3 linked regions of the Macaca mulatta genome follow. The main gene of each other region encodes a partner of the protein of the gene in region 3 in a complex. Links are inferred from orthologs where the notes say so. Each region holds a gene or a part of one and is shown on either strand. Other genes may lie near its edges.

Region 1 (3,962 bases), on a different chromosome or scaffold from region 3:
ATTTTTAGCTTGTTCTATCATACTATCTTTACTTGTGCAAATTTAGCCCATCCTTGTAGGTCTAACGTTTATGCCACCTCTTTAGGAAGCCCATCTTGTGCTCTCTCCCTTCTCTAAAATTTTATATACATCCCTTAAACATATGTTTACATATTCTCCGCCTTCAACTCCCATTCTCAGGCTATTTTATTCCCGTTTATGAGATTTGCTGTTTAGCTCAGTATTTTGTGGGTTTTCAAAAGATTCCACTCAATTTACCGAGCACCTATGCACCAGACATTTTATTAGGTACAAGGAAAAGCGTTAAATAGATATAATCATGGCCTTCAAGAAACTGAACCTGGTAAGGGAGACGAATAAGTAGACATTCAAGTGAGCTTTAGGAGACTTGGTTTGGTAGTGAATACAGTCTCACGTGTATTAACAATTTACAGCACCGTAAAATAAGAGACAGAAGCCAACAAATCCGTTTCAAACAGTTCAAAGGAGGAAAAGGAGAGGGAAGGGCGGTTTAGATACAGCATCACCATAAATAGCCTGATAATCTAACCCTGTGATAATCCAAGTATAGTCACAGCACCTGCCTCAGAATCACTTGGAAGGCTTGTGAGGAATACAAACGCAGATTCATACCTACTGAAATTAGAATGGAGAAAGGGGCATTTAAGTCTGCATTTTAAAGACATTCCCCAGGTACTGAAGCCATCCAAAGTTTTAGAACAGAGCAGAGCCACGCTTCGCAGACCTTGTTCCTCAACTACTGCCTCCTTCTAGCCGGAGGGTGGCGTGCAGCGTGTCCCTTCCCTTCCCACCGTCCAAGTTATCTATCCAGTTTTCGAACGTCGGCCCACAGACCGCAGGACAATACGCGAGAGACTAGGAGCACCCACTACGCAAACCACCACACAGGGATCGGAGGCCGGACCCGCAAAGGATTTGGGGAAAAAGGCATCAGGCCAATCCGAAGGGCGAGAGCGGCCCTAGGAATGGAGGGGCGGGGTGGGTGGCGGGGGGGGGGGGGCGGGGAGAGAGAGGTTTTTTTTTTTTCTTGATTGACGTAAAGCGTACCCAATTAAAATAAAACTGGTAAAGCTTCCGCCATAATGGGCAGAACCATAGCGACATTTCAACCAATCCAGCTCAAAAGTGTCTATGTTGTGGGAGGTCCCTGAGGCCGCTGAGGTCGTTCGTGTCTGTTGAACGGTTGTGGGAGTCTTGCTGCTTTGGGTAGGGGGTTAAAATCGTTTCTTGAGAGGAACGACTCTGTCCGAAGAGATAATGAGTTTAGCTCTGAGGTCGGTAATAAGGAGGCGGCAGTGCTCTCCACACCCCGGAGCGGGACCTAGGGAGGGTGTGTGTGGAAGGGAGGCCGTTTGGGGCCGTGGCGAGGCAGGGGATGCTGTTTGGGATGCGGGAAAGGAGCCTAGGGCAGCCTGTCTGGATCACTCACCCTCTGGGCTCTGGTGCCCTGCAGGGAACGAGACTTCCAGTGCATTTCTACTAAGGAGGTTATTTCTGTCAGCGCGTAGGGCTTTCGACTACCAAAAAAATGGGCTTAGTTGCGAGCGAGGGGGAGGGAATGAAATATCGCGAGGCTTCTACTCTGTTGCTCTGAGAGATCAGGCCGCGGAACATCCCTTCATTCAATTCGTATGCCTGGCCAGGGCCCCACCTCCGCTGCTCTGCTGCTGATGCAATCATCCACCTATAAATTTTGGAAATAACAAAAAACTCTTTGCTATTCTCCCAAGGTCCTGCTTTACGGTGTAATTAGAAACCCATTTTAGTGACTAATTGGCAAACTGTCTCTTGGATTTCCTGTTTCTTTCATTTCTTTACCTTTCAGTTCTAACCTCTAACCCTCTGTCTGTTACCCGCTCCCCCTACGTAGACGTTGTACCGTAAAACTATACATATACTTAGGACACTCTAAAAATGTTCCATGTTCTGCTAAGGGATAATCATGGTACCCTTGGATGGGGTCAGGGGTGGGTCGGTTCTGGACTTGGCCTCTAAAAGTCTCAGGAAGGAAAAGACTGACCCCAGGAATACCCAAGTTTGTGTCAAGTCAGGTCTCATGAAAGGAAGATCTTCCTCAGCTTTGTCATACTGCATCTACTGGTCACTTCCTAGCCTTTTTTTTTTTTTTTTTTTTTGTAGCGTTCAGAGACCAAAACGACTTTCAAATGCAGCTAGATACGTGTTTTAAATACAGTCAACTGGTTTTGACATGTTAATGTGTTACCAGATTGTGTGTTTCAAAACTTGTTCTTATACCAGTGTTGCGGCTCCATTGGAAAACTTGGAGCACATTTAGATGGGCAGCTCTTACGGAAAACATTTCTGGCTTTAAAGTAATTTTTGCTTTTTTCTTTAAGCGTTTCCAGAGTTTATGAGAAGTTTAACCTCCAGTTTACATCTTAAGTGAGACAAGACTTATGAAGCACAAATATTGTATACTTTTTTGACATCTAATATTTGTCATATGTTTAGACTCATTAATATTTTGGGTGATTTGTTAATATCAGTGGAGGAAATGACACATAAATTGCCAAACTGTTAGAAACGTGTAATCTAAAAACATTTTGAACCAACAGTCCCAAAATATAAGTTAATCCAGTTGTATTTTTTGTAGTAATTTTATGAACTTAATTATCAGAACTATCAAAAGTAAACCGATATATGGTGATTGTCAGTTACGAATTTTGGTTTCATTTGGAGATTTTTTGGTTTCTTTAACATTCTTGTAGAATAATGTGAGTGTTTTTGTTTTTTTTTGGTTGGAGTTGGTTGGAGTTTCAGACATAAAAGTAATGTTGCTTATTCACAGTTCTTGAATAAATAAAAAGTTAGGGAAAGTGGGAATAAATAAAAAGCTGGGAAAAGGAAAAGTTTGGTCCTCATTTCTTTTAATAATCTGTAACACTCTTTAGTTTTGGGAAGTTCATATTTATAGCAATTTAGACTATGGAATAAACAGGGCATTGACTCATAAAGGGAAAGTTTCCCTGTCTTTCTCCAAAGTACTTTCTTTTTTGAAATTTAGAAAATAATTATTGGCTAATTTCTGTTAGTAAAGAGAATTAAAGTGGACTAAGGGCTTTTTCTTTCCATTTCATAGAAGTGAGCTTGTAGTAGACAAAACAAAGAGGAAAAAAAGAAGAGAACTGTCTGAGGAACAGAAACAAGAAATTAAAGATGCTTTTGAACTATTTGATACAGACAAAGATGAAGCAATAGATTATCATGAATTAAAGGTAATGGTATACTTTAAAATACTTGTTTCTGTGTTAAAATGATTTGCATTTTGACAGTTGCTTTACATTACATTTCTAAGTAATTATTTTAACTAAATTGGTTTTGGAACTATGAAGGCATTTTAAGCATTCATAGTTAGATTCTATAATAATACTGAATAGAACTCCTAACACAGTTTTTAGAAAATCTTTTTCACGTGATAAAACGAATAGCATTTTAAATGTAACAATACATTCCTAGGGAAGGTGCTTATTTTTCACTGACATAATTAAAGGATTTCAAACTGGAATTTAAACTATTACCATATTCTTTTCACTGTTTTTTTTGTTTTTGTTTTTGTTTCTTGGTGACTCATACTGTTTTCAGATTGTGGGATTGTTGTCTTTTAATCTTATAATTTGTATTTGTTAGTAACATAGTCTCAATCCACTTTCTGTGGTACAAACAACTTCAGTGCTGTTTGATGTTGACACATGCTTGTAGGTAAAAATGTCAACTTTAAGACCTAGAATGTCAAGGTGTAGAGAGGGATTTGTAAATTATTATTTGTCAGGGTATAAGGAGAGATTTGGGTTTAGGGTAGAATGGGACTTACTTTCAGCACAGTGGGAAAGATAGTATTTTGAGATTTTTAATAGCCTTAATGGATAGGTGAATGTAAGTGTTTATTTGATAGTTTTAATTTTTGTAATTTCTTAAGGGAT
Region 2 (4,095 bases), on a different chromosome or scaffold from region 3:
ATCAGCTTCATCAATCATTTCCTATATGACAGTAAAGATTCAGGTTAGATTAATTTATAAACTAATGCCAAAAGGTGACTAAGTAATATGACTCTTTTTAGAGACGGGGTCTCTATGCTGCCCACACTACTCTCAAATTATTGGCCCCAAGCGATCCTCCTGCCTCAGCCTCCTAAAGTACTGGGATTACATGCATGAGCCACTGTGCCTGGCAAGCAATAGACTTTTAATAACACTATGTGAATAGATAATTGTAGTCCACCCAATGCCAGTATGCCACTCCTGATAATAGCTTGGTTCCTGAAAACTTATTTGAAAACCAACTCATACTTTGTCAAACATTATCACCTGGGAGGGAGCTTGAAGATTACCTTGACTAGAGGGATTCCTGGAATGTAAAATAGTAGGCAAAACTGTGCCTATGTGCATTTTTCTGGAAGCAGCGTTCATAGGTTTGTCTGACTATTAAAGGAGAATTCAGTTGTCCACAGAGGGACAAAGTACACTGGCTTTCCTTCAAAGAAGTGCTCACACTAGGGAAAATGTAACAGAAAAGTCACAGAGGGCCCAAAGGTGGGAATCTTAAGTTCCAGTGTGATGCATTACAAACCTGCAGCTCCTCATCAGTCAGGTTCTCACCCAACTCCTTGGCCACGCGTTTCAGATTTTTGAACGAAATCTTCCCAGTTTCATCATCATCAAAGAGCTTGAAAGCTTTCAGGATTTCTTCTTTGGTATCTTTCTCAGACTTACCAAATAGAACATGAAACACATGAGTAGGGGGACACCATGGTTACTCATGTCCTGTAGCCCTGCCACTGCCCGGTCAGGTCACCCTTTCCTTTTTAACAATGTAACTCGAGTCTAGACTTGCAGCAAGTGTCAGGAAGCCCATTTTGGCCTCAGAGAAACACCAGTCAAGCCAGGCACTCCATCCAAGGTGACGTTTGCTCCCTATCCCTATATCTCTCCCTATCCCATATCTATTTCCTAACTGGTTTAGAATTCTGTGGGAAGAGGTATCTGCTTGGAAGTCTTGAGAAAGAAGTACAAGGGCTTGTTTTGGGAGCCCAAGGTAACATGATGGGAGGGCAGGCCTCCTGATGCAGCTGCTACCTGGACTGCTCTGTGGTCACATGACTGTTTTAACAGGCAGATGCCATGGGCCTCTGCAGATGACTGGGGCGCCATACCATGCAAATTGTCTTAGCTACTCACCATTTTCTGGGTCATCACAGTTAAAAAGTCACCAAAGTTCATTTTTCCTGTCCCTTCTTTGTCAATTTCACTTATCATTTTCTTAATTTCTTCTTTCTTAGGTTCAAAGCCCAGGGCCCTCATTGCCACCTATAATGAAAACAGGATTGTCTCAATAAGCACATCTGAACTAGCAGCAGCAAAAACAACAGTGTTGAGAGCATTAAGCCAGCATCTGATGTGGTCATGTTAATATGATTGGGGAACACTATAACATTGATCTAATTGACATTTGCAATCAATTTTATTTAATAATACTCTAAGTAAAGACAGGAAAACAGAGCACAGTACAACCTCCCCTGTTACTTATTGCAGGGAGAAGAGGGCAAAAGGGGTAGAGAGGTGATAGGGAGATGACAAGGAAGAGGCAGAGGAAAGGAAGGGCAGTACGGCAGGAATGCATAGAGCTTGCCTTAAGTTCTTTAACATCTATGGTGCCAGTTCCATCCGCATCGAAAAGATCAAAAGCTTCCCGGATCTCCTGCTTCTGCTCTTCAGTAAGCTCAGGCTTAGGACTCATTCTTTTTCTCTGGGAACTTGATGCCATGTTTGTCTTCTTAAAGTTGGAGGCCTTCATACGTTATGCAATACACAAGCACAATAATATATCGTACAGTCCATATTTACATAACATAGTTACAGACACCCATATGTAGTTTTAAATAATTTTATGGCAACCAATTCCAAAGCTTTGCTTAACAAGAAAGATAACAGGGTTTACTGGCAAGAACAATGAATCTTTCCATGAACTTCTATCCCTCCCTTTTCTTTACTGTCGTTTCTAGAAGCAGGGAGATCACTTGTTCAGTAAGGATACCTCTTACTGAAAATCATCCCAAAAGAGAGCTAGTCAAGAAAATGACTGCGAATAAGTAGAGATAATCAGCTCTTCCCGAATGTGGGGATCCTGGTTCTGGAAACTGCCTTACAATGCCCACTCCCAGTACTCCGCTTCCCAGTAAGCACTCTGACTTCCCAATTACTTCTAGATTTGGCCAAATATTAGCAAGTTGTTAAGATGTATATTGTGTCAGTATCGAGTAATAAAACTCAATCCATCTGACACCTTCGTGCCTTCTCCAAGAAGCTACAGCATCCCCTGAATGCCCCTATATTTAAATTGTAAAAAACACTTTAATAGAACACAATACACCTTCTCCCAGCTCTGTGTGGAAATTTTGGCAGAATGAGGCGGCCAGGGGGCCAAGGTCTGAGAAAGTCAGGGGCCTGTGAGGGATTCGAGTCTTTTTTGCCCAGGGAGGTTCACCGAGGTGATCAGGGAAGGCCAGGGGAGCCCGAGGGGCGGGTGTGGGCCTGTTGTGGGTGAAGGGGAGGCAGCAGCAAAGCGCAGGCCCAGTAGGTTGGTTAGCGTCTGTACCCTACTCTTCCGGGAAAGAGCTCAAAGGAAGGACTGGTGCGTCAAAGCCGAGAAAGGCGCAGGAGAGGCGGCGTGGCCGAGCTGGGGCCTGGGAAGGGCTCAGCCTCTGGGCGTGGGGCGCGACAGAGCGGCAGCACTCACCATAGCCAAAGGAGTCCACGGCCGGTTGTTAGGCAACCGACGTGTACACTGATTCGGCGCCGCTCCCACCGCCCCGCGCGCACAGCCCCGCTCCCCATTGGGCGTCCGCTCGCCGCCGCCGCTCCCTACTGGTGCAGGGCCGAAGAGGGTGGGACTAACCTGGCAAAGCCCAGGCCCAGCGCGGGGAGGGGCACGCTGGGGACAGAGACCTGTCTTTATTGGGCAAGATCAAGCCGTGAGCGCCAATTGGCTGAGCCGACGCCGAGCTGGGCCAATCCTCTTGGTAGAAGAAGCTCGGCTGATTCTCGGCTCACGCGGGAGGGGAGTAAAGGGTGGCGTTCCGGGGCTGGAGTTCGGTGGGTGCAGCCTGCTTGCGAGCTGAGGCCAGCCAGTGGGGCACCTGCGGACGGGTAAGAGTCGTGGCCTTGCCCTTGGAGGCCACCCTGTGTCAGCGACTGGGCGGGGCGGGAGGGTGAGGAGCTGCGGGGCCGCCCGGGTCGGGTGCTTTCTGTGCTGACCTAAGGCTGAGTTAGGGACCGAGTGCATCAGAGCAGCCAGAGACGATTGACCTTGCGTGTTGGAGCAGGGACTGTACTCACGGGGCAACTGAGACCCGGAGAGGGGAAGGGGTCTGCTGAGCGTTGTGGCAGAGGTCGGACGGCTGGGACCTAGGAACTGAATCCAGCCGAGGCTCGCTCTTTGAGGGTGGCCCTTCGAGAGCACCCCCAGACTGACCCAGATGTGTAGGCCCCAGACCAGGTTCCAAGAGAGGATCACTTCAGGTCTTACCTGGCTAAAAACAGCCCAGGACGGTGAACTGGGGGCTTTGGGAACGGACTTTGAAAGGAGTGAAGGGGATGTGAGCAAGCAAGAGGGGCGGGGAGAGGTCATCAAAATATACTCTTTTTGACACCCACACAGTGCAGATAAGGAGGAGCATTCCAGGCCGAGACGCCCTCATCAGCAGAGTCACAGGAGTTTTGGAAGTGAGAGGTATGCTTGGAGAATTAAAAGGGAGCGTGTGCAAGGGCTGTGTGGACTGAGACAGACCTGCAGAAGTGGAGCTGGAGGTCCAGTTTGCCCTCTTTAGCTGTCTACGTGGCTTTTAGCCTTCACCTGATTTTCCTCCAGGCACTGGGGCAGTAATCTAGGGAAGTAGAGGGCAGAAAGTAAGTTTTTCAGGCAGAGAAAGGCCTGAGGCTTATTAGAACCTTTTAAATGGAGCTTCTGCCCTTTGCCCTCTTCAGCAGTGAACAGACTCCTAATTTTTGGGTCATCATCATCCCCCCAAGTAGTACGAGCCAGAGTTCTCATCATGG
Region 3 (3,992 bases):
GCTAATTTTTATATTTTTAGTAGAGACGGGGTTTCACCATGCTGCCCAGGCTGGTCTCAAACACCTGACCTTAAGTGATCCGCCCACCTTGGCCTCCCAAAGTGCTGGTATTACAGGCATGAGCCATCGCACCCAGCCAGTTCTGGATATTGTTAACATACTCTGTGCTTTTGTCTAAATTATTTGATTCTAATTTCCAACAGTGAAATGGGAATGATGGAGAGTTGATACAATGAGATTGTAAGGCACATAGAACATCGCTGACATAGCTATAATCAGATCATTTTCCCAATAGAATGGTTTGCAGGGATTAAATGAAATAATGGCTGTAAAATTCTTAATACATAGCTGTAAATAGCAATGATTATATTTTAGTTTGAAAATCAGTAAACTAAAATTTAACAACTGAGGAAAGAGAGTTCAGCTACTTTGGTTGCTCAGGTAGAAAAATACTTGGTGATTATGAAACGATATGTCTGGAATTTGTTTCAAAATAATCGGGGGCGGGGGGTGGGGAGGATAAGGTGCTGGGGTGGTAAGGGTGGGTTGGGGCTGCCGTGGTGGGAAATTGGCCACGTTATTGATGCTGCCTGTTCACTATGCTAATTTTGTATCCATTTGAAAATTTTATAGTTAAAAATTATGATTTGTTTCGCTCTACGCAACTATGTTGACACAACATACTTGGTAAATTGAAATGTCACGGAAACTTAGTTTTTAACTGGTCAATGACTTTTTGAGGTGTAGACACTTCACACCTTACTCCACTCCCCACTGTAAGGAAGATTTAACTTGAAACGGAGCTAATGATTTGAATTTACGGCTTTTATAATCTCATAAGTGGGCGTCATTTTAATAACTACTCTCAGAATATCTTTTTCTATTCCACTTTACTTTTTCCTCTCCACTTAACCAATTCATCATTAGAAAGAAACTACAAGTCCCAGGATGCACTACACGATGAACGTCCGATCGAGGACCTCGTGTCTCTGAAGTGGTTGCCCTCGCCTTATTTGAATGGGAATAATCCCAATGAAAATTGATACTTGTGACCCAGAGCAGATTCTGGAGCCTTCTGTACACCTGGGACGGCCCAGCGTGGAGGGGACAGCCTGGTGCCTTTTTGTTCAGGCTTCACTCAGGGCAGCCTCACCCCTTCCTGGGGCCTCCATGCGGCAGAAGGGCTCTGTTAGTGCGCCTCTAAGATGGCGACGCCTTTGGCGGTAAATTCGGGTAAGTGTGGCCAGACAGAAAGGAGATGATTGAGCTGAGCGATGACCAGGTCTTCAGGGAGAGACGAGACCGTGGGGTTTCTCGGAGTCTAGGACCCAACTTATGTGCGGTGCCTCCTTTTCCCTAATTCTGGGCCTAGAGTCTCACCCCTCCCCAGTTTGAATGGCGCGCGTCGGTGCTGCGGCTCTAGCCCTTGAGTTGGCGTTTGAGAGTCGAGGTAGTGAGGCTTGGGCCGCTGGACCCAGGTGTTTAATCTCTCACAGCCCAGGGCTAAGCCTGGCCCCCTTACCCCCAAGTTCCACTGTGCGTCTGTGGTCCAGATTTCGCCGGAATAGCGACAGGTCTTCAGCAGTGAAGCCAAAGGACCCGAGATATTTTCCAGCCACGAGCAGAGGCTGAAAGTAGGCGCCGGTGTTCTTAGAGGGTGGGAGATCTTGCAGGCGGCGAATACTCCCGATGATGAAGTCGGCCATCTGAAAGGTGGTCAGGAAGAGGGTGGCGGGGCTTCAGCGGACGTCTCCTAACTCTGCGGGTGTGGTTAGGCCCTGGATGTTCTTGTACCTTTGGAGCTGTAGATTTTCGGGGTGGAATTGAATCTAGAAGGTAGTAAAGGAATTCTGGAAGATTTGGGGTGGATCCTCTTTTGGTGATTCTCAGTTCGGGCGGTACCGCCCTCCAGTGGTGTCTGAATGAGTGAGTGCATTTTGATTGTCATATTTCCTGGGGTACGCTGCTGTCGCATAGTAGGCGGAGCAAGGATGCAGAAAGTCCTTCATGGGCAGAGCAGTCCGGGGAAAGAATTTGGCGCTTAGAATGTTAATGCCTCGGTTGAGATGCTCAGAACTTCGCGGGCAAGATTAAGAGTACATTTGTGTGGTAAATGCTTGTAAGAATCTCACTTAAAAGGACTCTTTCCTGGGTGCATTTTCTGTTTCTTTACAGTCACTTTTTAAAGTATTGGTTCTATTTTCCACAGGACTGATATTCTCGAAAAGTTGTCTAAATCTGCTTTGTAAATCAAATCATTTCAGAAACGCTGTGATAAATTATAATGAAAGCTATGCTTACTGAGCACATACTATATCCCAGCTTTACGCTTATTATTGTGCTTATCTCATTCAGTTGCCCTTTGGAGTAGTTGCTGTTAAATACACTATTTTACAGATTTGGAAATAGAGACTTCAAATAGTTACGTAATGTCCCCAGAGTTAAACATCTAATGATTCTAAGCCAGTCTTAGGTGCTTAAACTACTTAGTGCTACTACTTAAGCACAACCTAATTCATTTTATGATATTAGACATATATTAGAAGGTTAGTAATGAAGTTACATGCTTAATATTGCTGTCCTTCCTTCCCAATTAGATATGCTTAAAAGCAAGGGTTGCGTGTTATACGTGTGGTTATATATAATTTCTCTATTTTATTTTATTTTTTAATTTTTTGTTTTTGAGATGGGGTCTTGCTCTGCCTCCCAGGCTGGAGTGCAGTGATGCGAACCCGGCTCGCTGCAACCTCTGCCTCCCAGGTTCAAGCAATTCTCCTGCCTCAGCCTCCCGAGTAGCTGGAATTACAGGCACGCGCCACCACGCTGGGCTAATTTTTGTATTTTTAGTAGACGCAGGGTTTCTCCATGTTGTCTAGGCTGATCTCGAACTGCTGTCCTCACGCTATCCTTCTGCCTCTGCCTCCCAAAGTGGTAGGTTTACAGGTGTGAGCCAGCGCGCAGGGTATATACATTTATTTTCCTTTCTTTTTTTTCTCTTTTTGAGATGGAGTCTCACCCTGTCACCCAGGCTGGAGTGCAGTAGCATGATCTCGGCTCACTGCAGCCTCAGCCTCCCGGGTTCGAGCAATTCTCCTGCCTCAGCCTTCGAAGTAACTGGGATTACAGGCGCCTGCCACCATGCTTGGCTAGCCTGGCTTATTATTATTATTATTATTTTGAGACGGAGTCTCGCTCTGTCGCCCAGGCTGGAGTGCAGTGGCGCGATCGCCACACACTGCAAGCCCCGCCTCCCGGGTTCAAGGAATGTCCTGCCTCAGCCTCCGGAGTGGTTGGGACTACAGGCGCCCACCACCGCGCCGGGCTAATTTTTTTTTGTATTTTTAGTAGAGACGGGGTCTTACCGTGTTAGCGGTAAAACCAAGAGTTTTAAAAGCCAAGAGTCAGGAGGTGGTTTTTTTAAAAAACTAAACGTGGTAGGGAAGGAACTCTTTTTCCATCAAGTAATGAATGTCGGGTTGAGTGGGTAAAGGAAATGTGTCATATACATGCAATATACATAATGTATATGCATATACATAACGTATACATGCATATACATAATATCTTTATGCAGCCTTAAAAAGGAAGGAAATCCTGTCACATAAAACAATGTGGATGAATCTTGAGGACATACTAAGTGAAATAAGCCAGTCACAAGACACAAATACTGCATGATTCCACTTATATGAGGTATCTGAAGTAGTCAAACTCATAGAAACAGAAAGTAGAATGGTGGTTGCCAGGAGCTGGGAAAGGGGAAAATGGGGAGTTGTTTAGGGGGCATAGAGTTTCTATTTTGCAAGATGAAAAAAGCTTTGAAGATCTGTTGCACAATGTGAATATGCTTAACACTGCTGAACTGTACACTTAAAATTTGTGGAGATTGCATTCTGTGTTATGTGCTTCCTTTAAATTAGTTTTAAAAAATCAAACATCTTAGAGTTGTAAGGAAAAAATATAGAGATTGTAGAGTTCTAAGACTTATGGTTGGT

What was found. Proteins that work in one complex are often made in the same cells at the same time.
Region 1: NUP205 (region 3) and CETN3 share a complex: the UniProt entries of both Homo sapiens proteins name them as parts of the nuclear pore complex. The link is inferred for Macaca mulatta from reciprocal best matches to the Homo sapiens genes NUP205 and CETN3.
Region 2: NUP205 (region 3) and centrin-2 share a complex: the UniProt entries of both Homo sapiens proteins name them as parts of the nuclear pore complex. The link is inferred for Macaca mulatta from reciprocal best matches to the Homo sapiens genes NUP205 and CETN2.

Annotation. Positions count from the first base shown.
Region 1 is NC_133411.1:96,792,233-96,796,194, reverse strand, and holds the start of CETN3 (centrin-3), read left to right. Parts: upstream 1-1,159; 5' UTR 1,160-1,278; coding exon 1,279-1,295; intron 1,296-3,121; coding exon 3,122-3,257; intron 3,258-3,962. UniProt on the Homo sapiens protein: Plays a fundamental role in microtubule-organizing center structure and function. As a component of the TREX-2 complex, involved in the export of mRNAs to the cytoplasm through the nuclear pores.
Region 2 is NC_133426.1:159,106,003-159,110,097, forward strand, and holds the start of centrin-2, read right to left. Parts: upstream 2,804-4,095; 5' UTR 2,780-2,803; coding exon 2,777-2,779; exon of another isoform or gene 2,411-2,776; intron 1,829-2,410; coding exon 1,670-1,828; intron 1,348-1,669; coding exon 1,219-1,347; intron 749-1,218; coding exon 611-748; intron 22-610; coding exon 1-21. UniProt on the Homo sapiens protein: Plays a fundamental role in microtubule organizing center structure and function. Required for centriole duplication and correct spindle formation. Has a role in regulating cytokinesis and genome stability via cooperation with CALM1 and CCP110.
Region 3 is NC_133408.1:175,386,779-175,390,770, forward strand, and holds the start of NUP205 (nuclear pore complex protein Nup205), read left to right. Parts: upstream 1-1,188; 5' UTR 1,189-1,205; coding exon 1,206-1,233; intron 1,234-3,992. UniProt on the Homo sapiens protein: Plays a role in the nuclear pore complex (NPC) assembly and/or maintenance. May anchor NUP62 and other nucleoporins, but not NUP153 and TPR, to the NPC.